Drosophila melanogaster: one gene and its partners. The protein of the gene in region 1 interacts with the protein of each later gene in a pairwise test. Each region holds a gene or a part of one and is shown in the gene's direction. Other genes may lie near its edges. The genes, in order: Kap-alpha1, GCC88, Cse1 and Git.

Evidence for each region.
Region 2: the proteins of Kap-alpha1 (region 1) and GCC88 interact in a two-hybrid assay, tested with the Drosophila melanogaster proteins (one large-scale study listed by BioGRID).
Region 3: the proteins of Kap-alpha1 (region 1) and Cse1 interact in a two-hybrid assay, tested with the Drosophila melanogaster proteins (one large-scale study listed by BioGRID).
Region 4: the proteins of Kap-alpha1 (region 1) and Git interact in a two-hybrid assay, tested with the Drosophila melanogaster proteins (one large-scale study listed by BioGRID).

The regions. Positions count from the first base shown.
Region 1 is NT_037436.4:19,805,293-19,810,898, forward strand, and holds Kap-alpha1 (karyopherin alpha1), read left to right. Parts: upstream 1-1,939; 5' UTR 1,940-2,027; intron 2,028-2,620; 5' UTR 2,621-2,644; coding exon 2,645-2,845; intron 2,846-2,907; coding exon 2,908-3,392; intron 3,393-3,451; coding exon 3,452-3,715; intron 3,716-3,782; coding exon 3,783-4,282; intron 4,283-4,346; coding exon 4,347-4,528; 3' UTR 4,529-5,106; downstream 5,107-5,606. Other genes in the region: CG34116 (uncharacterized protein), read right to left, coding at 76-711; Ccdc58 (Coiled-coil domain-containing 58), read left to right, coding at 910-945, 1,014-1,160, 1,218-1,340, 1,394-1,498; CG14104 (uncharacterized protein), read right to left, coding at 1,648-1,854; Cyp305a1 (cytochrome P450 305a1), read right to left, coding at 5,260-5,606.
Region 2 is NT_033777.3:11,227,620-11,232,592, reverse strand, and holds GCC88 (GRIP and coiled-coil domain containing 88 kDa), read left to right. Parts: upstream 1-1,992; 5' UTR 1,993-2,143; coding exon 2,144-2,225; intron 2,226-2,278; coding exon 2,279-4,103; intron 4,104-4,171; coding exon 4,172-4,352; 3' UTR 4,353-4,422; downstream 4,423-4,973. Other genes in the region: Dph3 (diphthamide biosynthesis 3), read right to left, coding at 175-252, 325-399, 469-576; CG17187 (uncharacterized protein), read left to right, coding at 885-1,784; CG17726 (uncharacterized protein), read right to left, coding at 4,423-4,973.
Region 3 is NT_033779.5:16,820,623-16,826,943, reverse strand, and holds Cse1 (chromosome segregation 1), read left to right. Parts: upstream 1-1,736; 5' UTR 1,737-1,877; coding exon 1,878-1,962; intron 1,963-2,444; coding exon 2,445-3,304; intron 3,305-3,375; coding exon 3,376-3,859; intron 3,860-3,927; coding exon 3,928-4,230; intron 4,231-4,295; coding exon 4,296-4,452; intron 4,453-4,508; coding exon 4,509-4,809; intron 4,810-4,882; coding exon 4,883-5,620; 3' UTR 5,621-5,788; downstream 5,789-6,321. Other genes in the region: mdy (midway), read right to left, coding at 228-461, 522-794, 855-1,165, 1,222-1,365, 1,426-1,534, 6,014-6,066, 6,135-6,226, 6,285-6,321; CG13280 (uncharacterized protein), read left to right, coding at 5,938-6,001. UniProt on the Drosophila melanogaster protein: Export receptor for importin alpha. Mediates importin-alpha re-export from the nucleus to the cytoplasm after import substrates have been released into the nucleoplasm.
Region 4 is NT_033778.4:10,641,276-10,647,073, reverse strand, and holds Git (G protein-coupled receptor kinase interacting ArfGAP), read left to right. Parts: upstream 1-1,646; 5' UTR 1,647-1,736; intron 1,737-1,919; 5' UTR 1,920-1,943; coding exon 1,944-2,819; intron 2,820-3,111; coding exon 3,112-3,268; intron 3,269-3,331; coding exon 3,332-3,417; intron 3,418-3,479; coding exon 3,480-3,764; intron 3,765-4,137; coding exon 4,138-4,328; intron 4,329-4,400; coding exon 4,401-4,797; intron 4,798-4,859; coding exon 4,860-5,063; 3' UTR 5,064-5,256; downstream 5,257-5,798. Other genes in the region: Elp2 (elongator complex protein 2), read right to left, coding at 1-212, 268-1,051, 1,103-1,225. UniProt on the Drosophila melanogaster protein: GTPase-activating protein for ADP ribosylation factor family members, including ARF1.

The DNA.
Region 1 (5,606 bases):
TAAAGATTAAACACAATATGTACAGAGTATGTATATTAGCTTAAATTAAGTCCTACTTAATCCTGATTAACTATTCTACTCCGCCGTTGGAACCGTATTCAGAGTAAGGCGTCGTAGCCTGCCCAATACGAAGATTTCGTCTATAGCTTTTTTGGCATAGAATTTTTGGTCCTCGCTGAGTTTGCGGTACTCAAGGGACCAGGTCTGTGCATAAACATTGGACTCCTCGACCCCACTTGCGTCGAGTGGTAGCGCGATCTCGGGAATGTCCGGAATACGGGCTGAAGCTGCAGTGGAATCTCCGCCGCTGACCGCTTCCCCCACAAAGGCGGCAACATCGGCAGGAGAGGGTTTTGTTTCCAACTCATCCGACATGGATTGTTGGTCATCATGTTCCTCATGATGCTCCTGGTCCGTCTCCTCCTTTCTGTCGTTGGATTCGCCCTTGGAATTGTAGCAGCAGAATGCCTGTTTCTTGAGATACTGCAGGTGACACCGGTGACGCCTCAGGTTCGTTGTGGATTTGTGGGTGAAGGACATAATGCTCCTGCAGCCGATGCAGAACAGTACGTGCTCCAGAAAGCTACCATCGTCCTTCTTGATCTTGCGATACACCCGCCACACAGTGCTCCGTGTGCTTTTGTCATTAACAGCCAATTGGTAGACGCCGGTTTCAATTTTCTCGTGAATATCATCGAATTTTAGCGGCATCTTGAATTATTTTGCTATTTTGTTTTGTTTTGTTCAACTAGTCTTTATCATCCACATCGATTGTCCATAATCGTGCTAATCGATTGCACCGCCCAGGTGGCAACCCCGATTAGAGGCACATTGCGCCGGCAATTTTACATATATCATTTTGTTTTTATTATTTTTTAAAGTGTTTTCTTGTTTTCCTACCTGGTTTAAATGGCGGCATTGTGCTTAGACTTTCTCGGCTTCCAGGTGGGGGTTGGAATATTGTTGTTTGGGTTAGTAGCCGGCATACTAAATGGCTTTAAGTTTCCAAACAGGAGGCACTGAAGAAGATGCGAGATGTGGACGACAAGATTATATATGCACTAAATGCCCTGCCAACGGAGTCGTTTAAGGGTCAAGTGAACAGTGAAAGCACCTGTCGCGATCTGTACGCGAAGCTCCAGGAGTCACACTTGGCCAGGGTAAATCCTGATTAAGTACAACACACGGGGATCTTGACAGATAGCTTCTCCTTGCAGCAAGAAAGCATACGCAGTTGCATAACAATTTCGGCTAGTAATCTGAAGAAGCTAAGGGAAAAGCGGGAGACCCAGCCGGATGATGTGGATACGGATAACCAGTTTAGGGCGGAGCAGCGCAAGGTAACCGAAATACCTAAGTCTTACTCTTAACTGATGCCTATGATCCTTTCCAGCTGCGGGTTCTCCAGGCCGAGCTCAATGTCGAGGACATCATTAAAGATCGTTCCTACAAGACCTTCAATGAACGATGCCGGTCCTATTTTCATGCTGGCCAATAGGTGGAACAAATGCAATGACTAGTTTTAGGTGGATTTATTAGCAGAAGTCTCATGGAACTGCCAAGCCAGAAGGCATTTACATGCACTCCGTTGTATTACAAGTTGTTTACAACAAGTACATAAATATAACAGTCTAAAAAGCACAAACTTTATTCGTCGCGGGGCAGGTTGTATGTAGCGTAAACCGATCCGACGGGTACGCATTTTAGGTTGGCCAAGGCTTCCAGGACGCGCTGGGTGGCATCCTTTAGGTCGTTGTACTCGTGCAGCAGTTCAATGATCTTCTTTTTCTGACCCTCTGACGTTTCATTTGTCTTATTGGCCGTTTTGCGCGACTTTTTCTTATTTTCTTTCATGTTTAAATTAAATGCAATTGGATTGGAATTACTGCTATCGGTTGATATCGCTATCGATAGCGCGTCAGCTGTGTGCATTGCATTTTGACAGTCCGGCATCCCCGTTCCTCACAACGTGTAAAATCTCCCGTCCCCTTGCATGATTAAGACGAGAAAAGGATTCTCCGGAACAGGTAAATTGTGTTCTAATTACGTATCTGAAGGCGCCTCTTCTAACCAGGAGTTGTGGTGGCTCAAAGAAGGGCGTAACCGGAGACCAGCGAATGGCTCATGCTGGCTGACCTAAGCCCGCACCTATACGCACAAACGCAAAGCAGCCGTGTGTGCACATATGTACATACACGTACAATGAAATGTGAAAGTGTTGTGATTGTGCATTTTGCCAGGAAAACTGAATAGTTCATTAAATGTGAACCTATTATATGTAAATTATTCGCCTGACAACGTAATCTTTATGTTTCCGGAAATGTAAAATTAGCCTAGAGCAGGCGCTAAGCGAATGTTCAGTGGTTACAGGGCGTAATAATCCTGGTGGGAGTGGATGAGAACATTGGGGAACACCTAGTGATGATTATAAACGTTCAATTCAACTAGTTCGCATTCCACGACGACCTCTACCTATATTTTCTAGATTATTTGCACTTTCGTTTAGCATTTGATCACAGTAGCGGCGAAAATCAAGTCGCACTCACTTTTTATCTGAAACCTGTCTTTACGACTTAAATTATTCTGTTCTCAAAGAAATATTTTTTTTAACTATTTCAAGCTTTTGAATTGCCAAGACGACGAAATGTCTGCCAGCCACAAACAGCGTTATAAAAATGCCGCCTTGGACTCCACAGAGATGCGTCGTCGTCGCGAGGAGGTGGGCATCCAGTTGCGAAAAAACAAACGCGAACAGCAGCTCTTTAAGCGACGCAATGTGGTTCTTGAGCCGGCTACATCCTCAACATCAGCCGGAGTGGAGAGCAACACCGATAACGAACAGCAGGTATATTTTGATCAAGTTTGGCCTGATAGCATAGTCTTAACTATCTCTCCATTCCAATGCAGGCTGCCGACATGCACATGGCTGACAGCAGCACTGGCGGTCAAAACGAGGAAGCTGCTGGAAGCGGGGCACAGCCATCCGTAATCAACGAGGAAATGATTCAAATGCTCTTCAGTGGACGTGAAAACGAACAGCTTGAGGCGACTCAAAAGTTCCGCAAACTGCTGTCCCGCGATCCCAATCCTCCCATTGAGGAAGTCATCCAGAAGGGGATAGTGCCACAGTTTGTCACCTTTTTGCGAAATAGCGCAAATGCCACGCTGCAGTTCGAGGCCGCCTGGACGCTAACGAACATCGCATCGGGCACCTCGCAACAGACCAAGGTGGTTATCGAGGCCGGGGCAGTGCCTATCTTCATTGATTTGCTCTCCAGTCCCCATGATGATGTTCAGGAACAGGCCGTGTGGGCCCTAGGCAACATAGCCGGTGACTCACCCATGTGTCGAGACCATTTGCTCGGCTCCGGCATTCTAGAGCCTCTCCTGCAGTAAGTTATAAATAATTATATTGATAAGATTGCGCCAAAGTAGGTGTGACTTCTTGCAGTGTATTGAGCAACTCGGATCGCATTACCATGATACGGAATGCGGTGTGGACACTTTCAAACTTGTGCCGCGGCAAAAGCCCTCCCGCAGACTTTGCCAAAATTAGCCATGGTCTACCAATACTGGCACGGTTGCTGAAGTACACTGATGCGGATGTACTAAGCGATACTTGCTGGGCCATAGGCTACCTGTCAGATGGTCCCAATGATAAAATCCAGGCTGTAATTGATGCGGGTGTTTGCCGTCGCCTGGTTGAGCTGCTATTGTAAGTAGTCCTGCTGCGCCATTACAAATTAAAATTACACTTATGATTTGTTGACCTATCCTGGCAGACATCCTCAGCAGAACGTGAGCACAGCTGCTCTGAGGGCCGTGGGCAATATTGTGACAGGCGACGATCAGCAGACCCAGGTGATATTGGGGTACAACGCTTTGACCTGCATTAGCCACCTGCTGCATTCGACGGCGGAAACAATCAAGAAGGAGTCGTGCTGGACAATCTCAAATATTGCAGCCGGCAATCGTGAGCAGATCCAGGCCTTAATCAATGCCAACATATTCCCGCAGCTGATGGTTATCATGCAGACGGCCGAATTTAAGACTCGCAAGGAGGCCGCATGGGCCATTACCAACGCAACCAGCAGCGGTACGCACGAACAGATCCACTACCTGGTGCAGGTTGGCTGTGTGCCGCCCATGTGCGATTTTCTCACCGTCGTCGACTCGGACATCGTCCAAGTGGCGCTAAATGCACTTGAAAACATTTTGAAGGCAGGTGAAAAGTTCCAGACGCGACCAAATCCCTATGCTATTACCATCGAGGAATGCGGAGGTAACGCTATTTATTTTTACTTTCAAATTTCCATTTAAATATCGATTCTGTTAATATTATATAGGTTTGGACAAAATAGAGTATCTGCAGGCGCATGAAAACCGCGACATCTACCACAAATCATTTTACATTATCGAACAGTACTTCGGCAACGAAGAGGAGGATAGCCGGGTGGCTCCCGTGGCAGGCACGCAACAGTTTGAGTTCGATCCGGACAACATGCCCAGCACCGGATTTAACTTTTAGCACCCTACCGCGCAGGACATCGTTTAACTATTCAAATACGAATCCCTCAAGTCCTAAACACACAGAAGCATATGCAACAGGAAGCGAAGCCTTGCCGCCGGGATTTAAATGAAGGCGGCCAGAGCACGGACATGAAAAATAGACCGCATGAGAAGGCGTCTGCCTTGCCCAAGTGCAGTCACTACTAGCATTTAAGGAAAGATGGTCGTTCGGTCGGCTCGTTTCTTTGTTACAATCACTCACCTGCTTATTGTATCAGCGTTTAGTTCTATAATTTTCGAAGTGGTCCAGGACCAGGCATGACGAGATTGCTTTCATTTAGTTCGATTGTACTAATTTAATATGTTATACAGAACCCATTGTATATGTTTTTGCTTTCCTCAAATTGAGTCTGTAAATATTTTCCATTTTATATATATATTTTCCAGCCCAAGTACGATGAGATCCTCACATGGTGTTGTTATACATTCTGATTCATTTGATCATTTTGTTATGCGAATCGCCGAATGTAAATTTGTTTAAATTATAAAGCATTGTAATTTAATTTAGAGGACATCAATAAACAACATCTAGACCACAGCTATGCAGATTGGCATAAGTTTTTATTGAATCTTTAAGCTTATAATATCCTCATGTGTAAATAATTTTCGGAATCCTTGGAAATATCCTAGTGGATTCAGCACCATATCTCTTGACCTATAATACCGACACCATCGACTCCAGTCACGAACTTAGGTGCGCTTGACGAACTGCACCTTGTATGGTTTTGGAGTAAGCGTAATCCCAGGCAGAAGCACCATTGATGGAGACTCTCCCGCCGGCAGGACAACGCTAAAATGCTGCACGATCCGCACTAGAAACGAGAAGATGCAGGCACGGGCGAGGGCATCGCCCAGACAACGGCGTCTGCCCATGCCGAAGGGCATGAAGTACTCGTCCTTGAAGCACTTGCCAGCCGAATCGATGAACCTCTCTGGGCGGAACTCCAGCGGATCCTTCCAGTGCTCCTTATCGAGATGCACTGAACGTAGGCTAATCAGAATTGTGGCATTTTTCGGAATGTCGTAGCCACCCAGCT
Region 2 (4,973 bases), on another chromosome or scaffold:
TCCTTTGTAATTCACCCAAAACGAATAATCCATAACGAATCGAAACTGTTTTTGCGAGCTTGCATAATTTGAAATCATTGTTTTACTAGTCATCGTATTATTTACACTAAAATGAAGTCTATATATATATAAAAATATATAAATAAAAACTATTTAATTACACCAAACTGTGTGTTAGTTCTTCTCGAGCTTCAGGTCGCCGAGCTTCTCGTTCAGCGCACTTTCTTCATCCTCCTCAGCTTTGAACATCTCCTGAAATTCGGAAAATCAGATTGCTTGAGTTTTCTGGGGAGTTCTAGGTGTATTTCTGAATGAGTCACTTACCGGATCGTATATGACCTTGATGACTAGGGAGCAGCTGGGACAGGTGGCCACCTCCTCGCCCTCGATTAGCTCCTCCTAAAGTGGAAATTTACCAAGTGATATGGGGAGTCCAGAAAAAAAAAGGTTGCGTATACGACTCGTTACCTTGGAGATCTGAAATCGATCGCCGCATGGACAGGGATAGTAGTACATCTCCTCCTCCTCGTCGTACTCGAAGTCCTCGATCTCCACCTCGTCGTGATAGATGCTCATGACGTACCTTCAGCTTAATTCAGCGCCTAAAGGTCATATTATATTTGAGTTTTTTTTGCGATAACTTAGATTAATCCACGCCAAACAAATGGGCACGTTGTGTTGCGGGGCTGCCAACTCGTTGCAGCGAACAGCTGATCCAGTAAACAATTGCAAATGTTTTATTTGGACATTTTTGGACCGCCGGCTGCAGTTGTGAAATAAGTCTCGTATAAAATAGTATATTTTAGCTAACTTTTGCCCAAAAAAGACAAACTGCAAAACAAACCCATGTTCCAGTTGTTGAATAAGGAGTAAAATAAGACTAAATGGCTAGCAAAAAGTACAGTGACGTGAATCTTTACGATCTTCTGGGCATTTCTCTCGAGTCTGATCAAAATGAGATACGCAAGGCGTACCGCAAGAAGGCCCTCGAGTGCCATCCCGACAAGAATCCGGACAATCCGAAGGCAGTCGAGCGCTTCCATGAGTTGTCCAAGGCTCTGGAGATCCTCACGGATGAATCCGCGCGCGCAGCTTATGACAAAGTGCTGAAGGCCAAGAAGGCGGCGGAGCTGAGGAGTCGCCAACTGGACGGGAAGCGGCAGAAGCTGAAGCTGGAACTGGAGGAACGTGAACGGGCGGCACTGCACAAACTGGCGAAGAGCCAACCCTACAGCACGGTGGCCAAAAGCGACGAGGAGGTGCTGCATGAGCAGATCGAGCGGTTGCGACGCGAGGGCTCCCGTCTGCTGGAGGAGGAGCAGCGAGCCATGCAGGAGCAGTTCCGGCGGAATCACGCGGAGCAACAGAAACTGCAGCAACAGCCGGTCCAGTTTGATTCCGCCCAGCATCGCATCAAGATGAAGTGGAAGGCCGAACCTGGCCAGGATTACACACAGCAAGAGCTGCTCAAGTATCTGAAGAAGTACGGCGACGTGGTGGCCCTGGTGGTCAACAGCAAGCGACGCGGACGCGCCATGGTGGAGCTGGCCACGCGCGAAGCCTGCGACATGGTCTTGGCCTACGAAAAAGGCGATCCCGCCAAGCCGCTGCACTTCGAGTGGGTAACGCCGCCGGCGGCAGACAAGCAGACAACCAAATCGGCCACCACTGGGTGCAGTGCGTCATCCACCGACTACGAGGACCTGGTCATGCGAAAGCTGCGCCAAGCTGAGGAACGTAAGAGACTCATTGAGCAGATGATGAAGGACGAGGAGGGCGAATGAAATAAGATTTAGTTAGGCTCAACATTTAATTTACTTTAATTGGACTAATATTAATGTTTGAAAATATCTCAATTTAGCAACTATGCAGCTGATTTATAATACATTTACATTTAAAATAGTTTTTAATTTATGTAAATTTGGTTATTAATTATTTTTTGAAAAACCGCAAAAATAAAAAAAAGTTTAAATCAGAATGATGGCAATTTTTAGTGCCTGAGCAAACATGACAAGTTGGCAGGCCCGCGTGCCAGCTGCTGAAATTTGTTAATTAAAAGAAATGCAAAAATGACACGGGAGATAAATAAATTGAACTACTAAGCGAACTGAAAGTAAATGAACTAATTCCCTTTCAAGGCGAAATGGAGAAGCGACAGAGGGAGCTGGAGGCGCTGGTGTCCACCCAAAAGGAGCAACTGGGGCGCTATGAAAAGCGTCTAAAAGGTGAGACATAGATGAATTCGCAATGCAAATGGATTAATGAGCCCAATTTGTAGACGTGGTCACTGCCTACAAGGGTCTGCTTAAGGAGAAGGAGGCATTGGAGACGAGTCTGGCGGCGCATGCGGAGGCCACGGCGGTGGGCGAGTCCGGATCGCCGGCCAGGGAGTTGGAGTCCAAAAAAACCAGCACCGACTCTGCGGATGGAGCAACCGAGGGCGCTGCACCGGGTCCGCCTGCTCCCCCGGCCGAGGGTCAACTGCAGACCCAAATTATCACCCTGATGAACTCGCTGGCCACTCTTTCCGCTGAGAAATCCCGCATGGAGGCCTCCTTTCAGGCGGATAAAAAGCAACTGCGCAGCCAAATCGCCCAAAAGGAGCAGACCATTCAGGAGCTTAATACCCGGGCCAAGGAGCAGGCTGCTCGGGCCAAAAGCGACGTGGACGAGATCAAGGCCAAGTGGATCGTGGAGCGACAGGAGCGCGAGAAAGAGACCAACAACCAAATGCTCATGATCCGCGAACTGCAGAAACTCTATGCGGACGAGCGGCATCTAAAGGACAACATTGAGATGCAGTTAAACAACTTCAAGACCCAGTTCGCCAGCAACGAGGCAGAGAATAGCCGGCTACGGGAATTGCAATCCCAGCTAAAGGAGGCTCGCTCCCAGCTGAAACAGTTCCAGGCCAAGACCGAGCACTCTGCAGCAGCGTCAGCGAGTGCGGACAGCGCCGCTCTCCTTCAGCAAGTGCGCCTTGAGATGCAGCAACTGAAGGAGCAGCATGCAGTGGCCATTCGTCAGGAACAGCGTCGCGTGCTGCGTGCCGAGGAACAGAGTCGCAGGCAGGCGGCGCTGCACGAGGATCGCGTGGCCAGTCTAGAGGCACGCCTGGCGGAGCTCAGCACCACTGTCGGCAGCTACGACCGCCTGCGTCAGCAAGATCAGGACAGCATCCATGATTTGAAGCAGCAGCTGCAGGATCTAGAGCAGGCACATGTGCGTCCAACATCCAATTCAAGGGCGCTAAACGAAGATGTGGACGTAGCCACGCTGGTTGACGAGATGGTGCGCTTGAAGAAACTGCTTACCACAGCCAATGCCCGTTCTGCCAATCCACTGGATCTCGGGGAGATCCTATCATTTAGCGGCCAAACAGCTACCCGAGTCGAGAGTCACGCCCACTGCGAGCAACAGCTTCAGGGTGTGCAGCAAATGCTCGAGGCATCCAAGCAGCAGCGACAGCTACTCGAACAGAAGGTGCAGCTGCAGCACTCGCACATCCAAACGCTGCAGGAGAAGGTGCAGGTGCTCAATCGCAACATCGACGAGGCGGAAGTCGAACTAAAGCAGCAGGGCGAAAAGCTGCGCCTGGCATTGAAGAACGAACGAACCAAGTGGCAGGAAGCCAAGGCTGAACTGGAGAACGAGACGCGCTGCAAACTGAACGAGCTGGAACAGCTACTGCAGAAGCAGCGCCAGAGGTCACTGCAGCTGCTGGATGAGAAGGAGCAGGAGATTAAGACACTGCAGACCTCCTTCGAGGTCTTTCACTCGGCCAGCGGTGTGGGCAGCACACTGGCCACACCCACACTTGAAGCAGCTGCCGATTCCTTTCACTATTCCTCCGACACCGACAGCGTGGAGGGGGAGCAGCGGGAAAGAAAGCTAAAGGTGCGCTCCAAGAAAATGTCGATGGGCGAGAACTGCCACATGCTGCACTATGCCAACGAGTTGGCGCGCAAGGACATCGAAATCACGACACTGCGGAAAGCCAAATACGCCGCCGAGTCGACGCTGCGAAAGGCGATCCAGGACAAGGTGACATCTCAGCAGGAAATGCACGAGAAGATCGAGTGCCTCAAGGAGCAGGTGGACAGGTGCGTCGTTGTCGTTGTTATCGTTGTTGTCTTAGAAAGTCATGCCACGATCTCTACTCCCATTCTAGACTCGAACGTTGCAAGACGCGCGAGGGTGCCAATCTGGAGTACCTGAAGAACGTTATTATCAGCTACATTGTTACCCGGGACGCGGACGGCAAGCGTCACATGCTGAACGCCATCTCGGCGGTGCTCCAGTTCACCGCCGCAGAGATGCAGGCGATCAATGCATCATTCCAGAAGAAATAACATTCGTACTTTTGTTCAACAATCATGTGCAACATATTTAAAACCCTACAAACAGATCCTAAATAGATAACTAACTAAATCCGACGACTGGGTATTTGTCTAGGTGGGCAGCTAGCACGCCGGGAAACATGGCCAGGAACTTAAAGCGAGTGCCCATCTGGGCTGGATCCGTGAGCATCTCGTAGCCGGAGCGAATGATCTCCTGGTTTTCGGGCAGCGCATGTGCCAACAGTTGCTCCAGTCGAGCCTCACCCTGCATTCGCTGCAGGAACAGTCCCTGCTCCACGGGACCGCAGCAGTGGACATTTCCGCGTGTCTCGGCAATGTGCCGCACTAGCTTGAAGTCCACATCGGCCGTGAGATCAGCACTGCCCGGCTCCACCAGCGGATCGTGCAGCTTGTGCTGCTTGAAGGCCCGGAAAGTGTCGGTTTTCTCGCCAAAATGGCCATAATCCATGATTAGAGCGATGCCGCCATCCCGTTCGATGCGCTCGGCGAGCAGTCCCACCTGTCGTTCCGTCTCCAGGGAGTGCTCCAAACAGGATCGTGTCTCGCCGGGCAGCGGTCGATAAAGACTCGAAACGGGTGTTTGGCTACGTGAGAGCACATATCGGAAGCTAG
Region 3 (6,321 bases), on another chromosome or scaffold:
ACATGACACTTAAATTCATTAACAAATGCATTCAATAACAATCTATTTGTGTTAATCAGTACTACATGCATGTGCAAAAGTCATACAAAATATGCTTTGTAAATTGGCAATCACAAGTTTCCTTCTTAACTTGCATTCTGGCTTATAAATTACGAAAAGTACACGGACCCGACCGATGCAGATATTTCAGTGTTGCTCCATTTTTAAATGTTAACCTTTTTTGAAACCTAACTACTGTAGTCGGTGCCGTTGAGCGAGTTTTTGAAATGCTGGACGACATAATCGTGATAATAGGCCATTATGCACAGAGGCTGACCAAGAATAATGGAAGCCCACACGATTATATTGCCCATTCGGGGACCCAGTTTCTTTTCAATGGATTTGGATATGGCCGATAGGGGAATCTGACCCATCATGCCCATAAATGCCCAGATCTTGTATATTTGCAAAGGAACTGAAACCTGAAAATATAAATTATATTATTGTACAAAATTTGAAATTCTAAATATCAACCCTCATACCAAATATTCATGGAAGACGGCACTGAAAAGAAAGACAATAGTAGAGGCCTGTCTTGAGGAATATCCCATTTGGACCACAGGGATGTAGAGATGACGCACGCACCACCTATGAACTGGCATGTTCCATGTACGCCAGAAGGTGTCAATGTTATTCGCATTCCACCAATCACAATAAAAATTGCGATCTGCAAAATTCAGCAGTTCGCCGACCGCATTAAGAAAAGAGTGGAACATTAGATAGAAAAAGCAGAGCCAGCAAAGATGATTGGGTAGCTAATTAAAGAAAAATTATTAAATAATACTCAAACGTTTTATAATTTTCACTCTACCAACCGCAAGTTTAAGAAGTCGCTCAGTGGCTAAGGCCACGTCCATATTGGAGAACGGAATCAGGGAGTTCCGAACCGATGGAATGATCCATTGTTGAAACAAGGCCATAACCACATTCACTCCAATCACCACCTCCAATAAACGCTTCAGCAAAAAGCGTTTGCGCACGCGAGAAGTTCGCGGGAAATTCAACTCATAGCAGAGAGTGGGCGCGCAAAGGAAGTACAGGAGATCCTTGTATGTGAGATTATCAGGATATTGCACCAGCTTGGAAACGTCCTCGTCTTCTTCACCTCCATTCAAAACTCCTTTTTCTGGATGAAAGATGAATTTTTAATATATGACATTCCGTTGAGAGATCTCAACATACTTAGTTCCGCCAAAGTTATGCTTGGTCGACGCTCCCGCGGATTCTTTTGATAATAAGTCTGACGGCACCACATATTCGTCTGCACATAGGACCATAGTTTTAGGAACAACACAGAGTAAAAGAAGCAAACTGTTGAAGCGCCCACTAAAGATTAACAGATAATTAAATATTTTAAAATACACCTAAACTAAGTTAATTTCTCACTCAAACTAAAAGCATGTCCTTTTAGGTGAATTGTTACCACCGGTAGGCAAACCAAGACAACAATGTTCACTATCTGGATGAACAAGCCCAAGCCCTCTGCAATTATTTCCTGGAAAAGAATTACAAATTTGTTTTAATTTTTAATTCATTCAGTTGGTTTTTGAAAAAAAAAAACAGGAATTGATATCATATCAAATGATACTAAATTAGTAAAGTTCAATATGCGATATTTCTGATATGAACATTTAAAATCTAAAACCATCGAATCCTAGTAACAGTAACTATAAACAATCGATATCGAAAACTCGCCCTGAGTTCCATCCCCAGATCGGCGAGCATTGTGTGCGAAAACGAATTGCGATTTCATTTCATGTTGCAAGAGTGTGGAGGAACAAGCCACGAGTGATATAAATTAAAGCAAATAGGACCATCGAAAAGAAAATATACTCAAAATGGAAGTGACAGAGGCAAATTTACAGCTGCTGGCCGGTTATTTGCAGCAGACGCTGAGCGCCGATCCCAATGTCCGCCGGCCGGGTGAGTGTGTGTGTGTAGGAATGCATGTGCACACACACAACTGCACATGCGTGCAGGGGTGCTGATGTGTATGTGCGCGGGAAATGGTTTTTGGCGACGCCAAAGAAAAATACGGTTTTTAAATCCATTTGAAGTTGTCTACAAGTTTTCCCTATGTCAAAGAATTTATACAGTCACGCTTTCTATTAATTGAATCGAGATTAGCTGATCTTGATATGACTGTTGCCAAGCCACCTTTCAAAACCATAGACCTAGTTTTAGGATTATTTAAGGCATACCAAGCCTATAGACTCCGCACCACCATAACCAAGCTTTTGAAAATATTGTATAAAAAACTTATTGCTTGAATTGAAAATATGTTTAGTCTAACGAGAAACACTGTAAGCTCCTATCGGTTCCTTATATATTTGTATTTGCAACATCCGATTTACATAAGTACAATAGTTCTAACAAACACACCATTTCCTTCTCTACTTTTATAGCCGAAAAACTTTTGGAGTCCACGGAACTACAGCAGAATTACCCGATCCTACTGCTCAATCTGATAGACAAAGCCCAAATGGACATGACTACGCGGGTGGCGGGAGCCATTGCCTTTAAGAACTATATTAAGCGGAATTGGGCAGCCCACCTTGACAGCGACGGACCGGATCGCATCCACGAAAGTGACAGGAATACAATTAAGACCTTGATCGTTACGCTAATGCTCCACTCACCGGTGGCATTGCAAAAACAACTAAGCGACGCGGTCAGCATCATAGGCAAATATGATTTTCCCAAAAAATGGCCGCAGCTTATCGACGAGATGGTGGAGAGATTTGCCTCTGGTGATTTCAATGTCATCAACGGCGTTTTGCAAACCGCACACTCGCTTTTCAAGCGCTATCGTTATGAGTTCAAGTCGCAGGCTTTGTGGGAGGAGATCAAATTTGTACTGGATCGTATGGCTAAACCTCTGACAGACCTGCTCCAGGCCACAATGCAGTTGACTAAGGTGCACGAGAACAATGCCGGCGCCCTGAAGGTCATCTACGGTTCATTGGTCCTTGTGAACAAGGTGTTTTTCTCGCTCAACTCCCAAGATTTGCCGGAGTTCTTTGAGGACAATATCAATACGTGGATGGGAGCGTTTATTCAGCAACTAGCTGCGGATGTGCCATCCCTGCGTACTGCAGATGATGAGGATGCGGGTGTTCTAGAGCATCTGCGTGCTCAAGTCTGCGAGAACATTTGCCTTTATGCAAAAAAGTACGACGAGGAGTTCAAGCCATTTATGGAGCAATTTGTGACTGCAGTTTGGGAGTTACTGGTCAAGACAAGTTTGCACACCAAGTACGATTCGGTAAGTAACAGAAACCATACGCTTTCTTAATAATTATTTTTATAATTTTTCCATTCTTATTTTGCGCACAGTTGGTCTCCCATGCTCTGCAGTTCCTCTCTGTGGTGGCTGACCGCCAGCATTATCAGAGCATTTTCGAGAACCCAGAGATTCTTGCTCAGATCTGCGATAAAGTTGTCATTCCCAATCTAGACATCCGGCCCTCAGATGAAGAAATTTTCGAGGACAGTCCGGAGGAGTACATTCGAAGGGATATTGAAGGCTCTGACATTGACACACGACGTCGGGCGGCATGTGATCTGGTGAAGACTCTATCAATCAACTTTGAACAAAAGATCTTTGGCATTTTTGGCCAGTATCTAGAGAGATTGTTGACCAAGTACAAGGAGAATCCGGCTACCAATTGGAGGTCAAAGGATACGGCAATTTATTTGGTTACTTCGTGGGCATCTCGAGGAGGAACTCAAAAGCATGGCATCACACAGACCTCGGAGTTGGTTCCACTTCCCGAATTTTGTGCCCAGCAAATTATTCCAGAACTGGAAAGACCCAACAGTAAGCCCAAATAACCATTTTCCCAATTCGATCATCTTATATCTGCATTCTTCCAATGCTCTTTGCAGTTAACGAGTTTCCTGTTCTTAAGGCTGCTGCAATTAAGTATGTAATGGTGTTCCGCAGCATTTTGGGTCCCCAAGTCTTAGCAAGCTGCCTGCCCCAGCTAATTCGACATCTCCCCGCCGAAAGCTCTGTTGTTCATAGCTATGCTGCTTGTTCAGTGGAGAAGATCCTTTCTATGCGGGATGCTAGCAACGCGATCGTTTTTGGTCCTCAGATTTTAGCACCTTACACAACTGAACTAATTAGTGGGTTATTTGCGACCCTTTCACTCCCAGGTTCCGGTGAAAATGAGTACGTAATGAAAGGTGAGTTTGGGGGACTATCTCATACGTTTCTAATATGTTAACAAAACTCTAATTATTATTATTAGCCATTATGCGAAGTTTTTCGGTCTTGCAATCGGCCGCCATGCCCTTTATGGGCGTCGCCCTTCCACGGCTTACCGAGATTCTCACCCAAGTGGCCAAGAATCCATCGCGTCCGCAGTTCAACCACTATCTTTTTGAAACGCTGGCTCTGTGTATAAAGTAAGTGTTATGCATTTTGGTGGTAAAGAGCAATAACAAATTTTCTTTTTCCCTAGAATTGTTTGTCACGCCGATTCCTCGGCTGTGAGCTCCTTTGAGGAGGCATTGTTCCCAGTTTTCCAGGGCATCTTACAGCAGGACATTGTCGAATTTATGCCCTACGTCTTCCAGATGCTTTCTGTGCTGTTGGAAATGCGCGAGGGCACTGGTACCATACCGGAACCCTATTGGGCTTTGTTCCCCTGCTTGTTGTCACCAGCTCTGTGGGACAGGACGGGCAATGTCACACCATTAATTCGCCTGATTTCTGCTTTCATCAAGCAGGGATCTGCTCAGATTCAAGCCTTGGGTAAACTGGTAAGTTATATTATACATCACAAATTTTATTTTACAGAGTCCAATCTTATGCATTTTTCAACATATATTTCAGAGCGGTATCCTCGGAATATTCCAAAAGATGATTGCCTCCAAGGCTAATGACCATGAAGGGTTTTATCTTCTCCAGAATCTGCTTTCCTACTACCCTCCCGCTGAGATTCAAACTAATCTTCGTCAGATCTTTGGCCTGCTCTTCCAGCGATTGTCTCTCTCAAAGACTCCGAAGTATTTAAGCGGCATCATTATCTTCTTTAGCTTTTATGTGATTAAGTTCAGTGGCAGTCAGATGGCTCAATTGATAGATGAGATTCAGCCTAACCTATTTGGCATGCTGCTGGACCGCGTGTTTATCACCGAAATGGGCAAGATTCCCAAGGAACAGGATCGCAAAATGGTGGCCGTGGGTGTCACTAAGCTACTTACAGAAACTCCTGAGATATTGCAGCAACAGTACGCTACTTTCTGGCCACGACTGCTGCATTCTCTAATCGATCTTTTTGAACGACCACCAGAGAAATTGATGGGTCTCGAAATAGGAGAGACAGCTGGAGTTGCCGAAGATCCCGATGCGGGCTATCAAGTGGCATTTGCCCAACTGACTCATGCCCAGCCCAACCAGCAGGATCACCTGGCTGAGATTAAGGATGCTCGCCAGTTTCTAGCAACTTCGCTCTCTAAGTTTGCCCAGGCTAGGGCAGGAGAATTTTCCACTTTGTTGTCGCCCCTGGAGCCGGAGTACAAGCAAGTACTCCAGAAATATTGTGATCAGGCTGGAGTACGCATTGCCTAAAGGAATCGACCGACTTTAAGCTCATTCATCGCAATCAAACCTCGCCATACATTCGAAAATTTATGCATACACGCACTCGATCACTCATTGCATGCCCAGTTTATTGTCATTTAAAAATTGTATCTAATATATGTAAGTTTTGTAAACAATTAAAAATTATGTTTTCCGAAACTAGTGTGTTTCAACTGCGATAACTTCTGAATATTTCATACTTTTCTCTCTGATAAACAAATCATTTCTTGTCAAACACCCTTCACTCAATTTCAAAATTGTGAATTTAGAATTAACTAGATATTTCGAAATTTATCATATAAGCCATGTTCAAGCTAATAACGTATTTCAAGTCACGATCGAAGAAAATAGGCGTGAGATGCTATCAAAGTAAGTACTTACCATGGCTAGACCCTTCTCCACAGCCAAACAGAGCGAGATATGCACTAAAGAGTCTGTAAAATATGGTGAGACGAAGGTTATCAATTTCGTTTGCGTAATCCTTGATTTTGTGCGTGCTTACAAATGCTCAGGATTAGGGCGTTATGTCCTTCGCCTTCGTTGTGTCCGCTTATGAAGAAGAACCAATCCAGTGGATTGATGCGAATGCCATACCTAAAAAAATAATGAATTAGCTAAAACTTGTATTTCTACTCAAGATCATCGTAGTTACTTTAGGAGATTCTCCAAGCCCAAACGCAGACCTCCAA
Region 4 (5,798 bases), on another chromosome or scaffold:
TGGCCGATCTGGATCTTGGCTCCAAATATGAAAGCCACCTTGGTAGCTGTGGGCCATGATCGAGTGTCCATCGCCGGAGAACTTTCCACCATAGAAGCCCACGGAGTTTCCACCCACTTCACCCACGCGAACTTCTTCCAACCAAATGCCTTCTTCCGTAGGTGCCCAAATTATGACGGTCTTGTCAATAGAAGCGGATAGAAGGCGGAGCTCTAAATGGATAACGTTTTTGAAAGGTCTTTGGGGAGTTCAATTGCTGTGCTTTACCTTGATCGGGTGTTTTGTGCCAGTGGACCCCATAAATCCATCCCTCATGTCCATATAGAACCGATTCCAAGCTCACTGCATACCAGGCTTCTTTCCCCAGTTGTAGTATCTTCTCCTCCACCTTTATCTCATCGTCGTTGTGGCTCAATTGATGCAGATCAACCCGATTCTCTTGCATTTGCTCTTTGCTGCGCGGCGCAATCCGCCAGAGACGAATAAAGTTATCCTGAGAGCCACTGGCCAGCAGCAAATCCTCGCCATCGACAACGAAATCCAGACCTCGAACCCAGTCTTCGTGGCCAGTGAGCTTGTGTTTGCGTTGGAACTGCCGACCTAGTGAATCTCCTTCACCTGCGGTTTCTACCTGTTCCGACCACAGGGAAACAGTCTCGTCATCGCCACTGAAGGCGAGCAGAACCTGGTTGCTCTTGGGCAGCAGCTGCAGTCGAAGACAGAAGCAGAATCCGTCGGATAAAGATATGGTTTGAAAGCACACATAATTATTATCCTGGAAAGTCCACAACTTGATGGTGGTATCTGCTGCTGCGGTCGCCAAAAGCCAGGAGCCATCCTGTTGGCGAATTCCATCCACAGTATTTACGCCACTTGTGTGTCCTTTGAGAGTGAAGCTCTTAGTCGTTCCCGTTTCATCCAGTTCCCAGAGAATAGCAATTGCATCATCTCCGCCGGAAAGAAGTTTGTCGCAATCCAACCACCTCACAGTGTTTACTCGCTTTGTGTGCTCCACCAGCGTGAACAGGACCTTGGCTGAGTTGCCTTGAAACTAAAAATTGGTTAAATATACTATGTTTCCAGTAAAGGCAAAATTTCCTACCTTTGGATCCATAATGGCTATGGCGTTACATGCCCCATAGGCAATCCAACCATTTGGACCCCAATCCGCGCATTCCGTGCAGCGGTTGCAGGCCACTGAAGTATGCAGATTCTCCACTTGCATGCTAATGTTGCACTTCTATTTTTTAATGACAACTAAATTCGAATTGAATGTCGGCGAAATTGTTTTGTTTTGGCACATGTGCTTCAAATAATGCAGTGCTTCTAAAACTGTCTCATCTGTTCATAAACATATGATTTCTAAGGGAGTGCAAGTGAGACAACTATATGTTGTGAAGAAGCTGGAATAGTGAGGCCAGCCGACAATATTGAAAAGTCTGGCAGGGCTAGTTACGAAAGTTACACCTGTTTGGTTTTTGATTTTTCGGTATTGCAGACCATTGCAAAATTTTGACCGAATAAATATTGCAACTTCTGTAATACTGGGTATATGATGGATTTTAAAATTTGAAAAGGCACAAACACAGCTGCTACATTCGTCAGCCTTTTCACTTCAAATCTAGCGCTTTTCCACTGCTACTGTTTGGTCACACTGGTGCGCAAAATAACTAAAACAAACTCGGAAAAGGCGTCCGCAAATGTTTTCTTCTGCTGCTCCCCGCGTTTAATTAAAAGTAATTTTCCTAATTGATGGCCAGGGGTGAGCCCCAGTTGCTGATATTTGACCTTTCACCGCCAGCGTTTCGGATTTCCAATCAGAAAGCCAACAGCTTGCAACTGACTCACAACGAAGTCACTTGAGATTGTCCGAGTTTTTTTTCAACTTCGGTATTCTATTTTTCGTATCTCCCCTGCAGCTTGTGAGCGTCTTGGAATGCTGAATGTGTTTCGCCAGCAGTATAATCGAAGCGCACAGGAAGTTATTTATAGCGCCGCCGGATTTGGATCATTCCGATCCAGCCACACCCACGATTTCGACCAGATCCAAAATGCCGAGGGGGAAATCCCGCCTGCAAACCGAAGTTTGTGGCGATTGCGGAGCTGGTGATCCATCCTGGGCGAGCATCAACCGGGGCATCCTTCTCTGCGCCGACTGCTGTTCGGTGCACCGCAGTCTGGGCAGGCACATCTCCATTGTGAAGTCTCTACGCCAGGGTAACTGGGAGCCCTCGGTTCTGAACTTTGTGAACTCTCTAAACGCCCATGGAGCCAATAGTGTTTGGGAGCATCATCTGCTGGATGGCAGCACCAACTCCACCGGCGGAAAGCACGTGCCACGCTGGCGGAAACCCACGCCCAAGGATGCACTCCATCCCACCAAATCCGATTTTATTAAGGCCAAGCATGTGAATCTAACGTTCGTGCTAAAACCCAGTCTCCAGGATGACGATGATGGCAATGGCTCAGCGGGCTGTCTGGAACAGGAGCTGAGTAGACAGCTCCATGCCAGCGTGCGGACCAGCAATCTAGAGACTTCACTGCGCTTCTTGGTCCAGGGTGCAGACCCAAATTACTACCACGAGGACAAGCTATCAACGCCACTTCACATGGCCGCCAAGTTTGGCCAGGCATCACAAATCGAGATGCTGCTCATCTATGGAGCCGATGTGAATGCCTTGGATGGCAATGGGATGACTCCTCTGGAACTGGCCAGGGCCAACAATCATAACACCATCGCCGAAAGACTGCTTGATGCCATGTACGATGTCACCGACAGGATCATTACCTTCCTAGGTGGCAAGAAGCCAGATCATGCGGTGAGTTTAGATCTTTAATTACCTGCAGAGTGAAATTATACTTTAATTGGACAAACCATTTAACCTTATCCATTGATTAATCATATATGTATTAAGCCAATTAAGCTATATCCTTGTAACTCCTTAAGTTGTCTTCAGTCTAAAGTTTATAACTATCTATTTAAATTTTTGTTAGTCACAGAACTATATTTATTTAATGGATTCATATTTCCATGAGCAAATGCACAGTTGACTCGACCTTTCCTACCCATTTCCTTATTCCGTTCTATTTAAATACTATTTCCATACGTAGAGTGGCCGCCACATGATTATTCCGGATGCCAATGGCGCGGACATAAGCGAGCAACTGAAGATTGCACGTGGAAAGTTGCAACTCGTGCCAAATAAGATGTTTGAGGAGCTGGTCATGGACCTATACGATGAGGTGGACAGACGCGAGTGCGAAGCCAGTGAGTATGACTGCTAAACATAGACTACAAACAAAGCTAATCTTATTTTTCTTAACGAAATAGTCTGGTCGACAAGCACCCTGAATGCTGATCATGCAACTGTGCCATTTTTGCCGGCTAATCCATTTTTGAGCGCCACGCGCAATCAGGTTTGACCTCGCCGTACATTAATGATTCGAACCTTCATTCATTGACATGGTCTCGCCTACAGGGTCGTCAGAAATTGGCACGCTTCAATCGCGCCGAGTTCACTGGTCTCTTGACCGACGTGCTCGTCGATGCTATGCGACGCCAGAATATGGCCAACCTGCGTCCAATGGATGCCCCAGTGGCCGGGCACCAGTCGCTGCAATCGCTGCCGTATGCCAACAACTCAATGCTGCTCGGCTCGTTCGAGCAGGGCGGTCATGATCCGAATCTGTCGGACGACGAGCCCATTTATGATCCGGTGGCCAGCGATGACGACTATGCCCCAGTGCCACCAATGGCCCAGCAGGTAAACCTAATGCGGCAAAAGATACTCAAGCTGAACAATAGCTTTGGCTAGAAGCGTAAGCGAAGACTGACATTTAGACAACCCGTGCTGTACCCATTGTGTTCATCCGTAGGCCAGGGCACTATAGCTCCCTGATTTTAGGCAACCTAATCCATTTTCAAAGGTAGAAGTCCAAATGTAGAACATAAGCCTCAATAAAACTAGCTGATACTTGTGAAAATGTAGTTTAAATAAGTAGTAGTTGGTACCGTGATTTGTCTGCCTTGCCTTTTGTTTTTATGCAATATTTATTTTTAAAGATTTTGTAATTATTAGTTGTACTTGATTTATATTGATTTATTTTCCTTGTTTTTATGCTTTTTATTTTACTTAGGCCATTGTGCATACGCCACCGCGCAGCGCGAATTCGCACAACGAAATGGAAACGCTGCGCAAACAGCTGAACGATTACAAATCGGAGATCAATCAGCTAAAGAACGTGGTGCAGATGCTGTCCAGCGAGAACACGCAGCTCAAGTCCAAGTTCTCGAGCGCATCGAACAACAGCGTGTACGATGAGCCACTGTGAGATTTTTCATTTGAATTTATTTGGCTAGCTTTATTTTTATGATTTGTTTTAAATTTTCCTTTGCATAGTCGCATTGATCTGAGCTTGAGCAGTCCGGATACAGAGCACGAGCCTCTGTCGCTACCCGAAGGTGGGACTGCCAATGGGGAAAGCGGCTCCTCCAATGATTCGTCAAATCAATCGACCATCAAGCGTCCAGCCAGCATGTACGAGCGTCGTTTGGTACCCAATGTGGCCAAGGGCAATACGGACATACGAAATACGACCAGCATGTACCAAATGGCTGGGGATGGCAAACCTTTTGGTGAGGAGGTCAAAGTGCGCTCTGACTTGGTCACACGCCGTCTTAAGGAGCTCATAAGAGCTATGCAGCCAGTGCCAGAGGATCAAAAGCAGTCGATTGCTCCACATGGAGAGCTTATACGAAGTGCCGTGACTGATTTAATTGCCCTTTATGCCAATTTGGTAAGATGAACATAGGGGCTTCCTTTATAAGGATGTTTCATAATCATAAACATATATTTTAGCCACCGAATGCCAGTGACCCGTCTCGCGAAACCCTTAAACTGCTAACCCGCCAGAACATTCTCATCCAGCACGAGTGCGAGAATCTGCAGAAAGCCATCGAGGCGGATGACAAGCAGGCCATACAGAAGAACACCTTGGAGGTGCGCGACTGCGCCTTCCACATTGCCAGTGCCATAAAGACTTTGGTGTTGCAGTTCTATTGAGACGCCCAAAACACAATCATCGACATAGAAGTTTAAACTCACTCACTCTTTTTTGAAGTATTAACCGACCACTTTAGTGCCCTGCTGACTAACAAAAGTGCTTCCGCCAAATAATTTAAAGAATCCCCTTTACATATAGTTTATGTATTTAATAAATGTTTACATAAATCAATGTACTTCGTTCAATATACACAAAATGCGTTCTTCTACGGGCTAATGACCCATTGCAAAATAGTTTAAAAGTGTTGAAGGATTGGCCCTCAAATTCAAAGGGGGGGAGACAAAGGAGGTGGAAAGATTTACGATATCTGTGTATATATATATATATTTATGGGTCCTTTATAATTTTAATAATCAGGTGCATTTTGAGCCTGTATATTGTTCACTTTAGTTAACTGTACGTTCTAAGCATGGACAATCAGTTAAGCATGGAGTACATATGTATAAGTGGCTTCCTCTACTTATTGTTTAACTTTGTGTAATTGAGTGGGTAGCTGCTGCCTTTGCTCTGGCTGTTTTTCTGACCTCCGGCTGGTGGTCGGATTGCTCGCCTATGGACAAAAATACACTCGTGGTGGTTGTGGTGTGCAAGTTCAAGGAACTATTTAAGATTAAAGCATTTATCCATGAGTGTTGCACGACTGTGCTCGCGGTCTCTAAAAAATAATATGCTCTGCCATGTTCGAAGCGCACCAAAAGTGTCCATAAAAATATACACATCCCATTTTGACATTC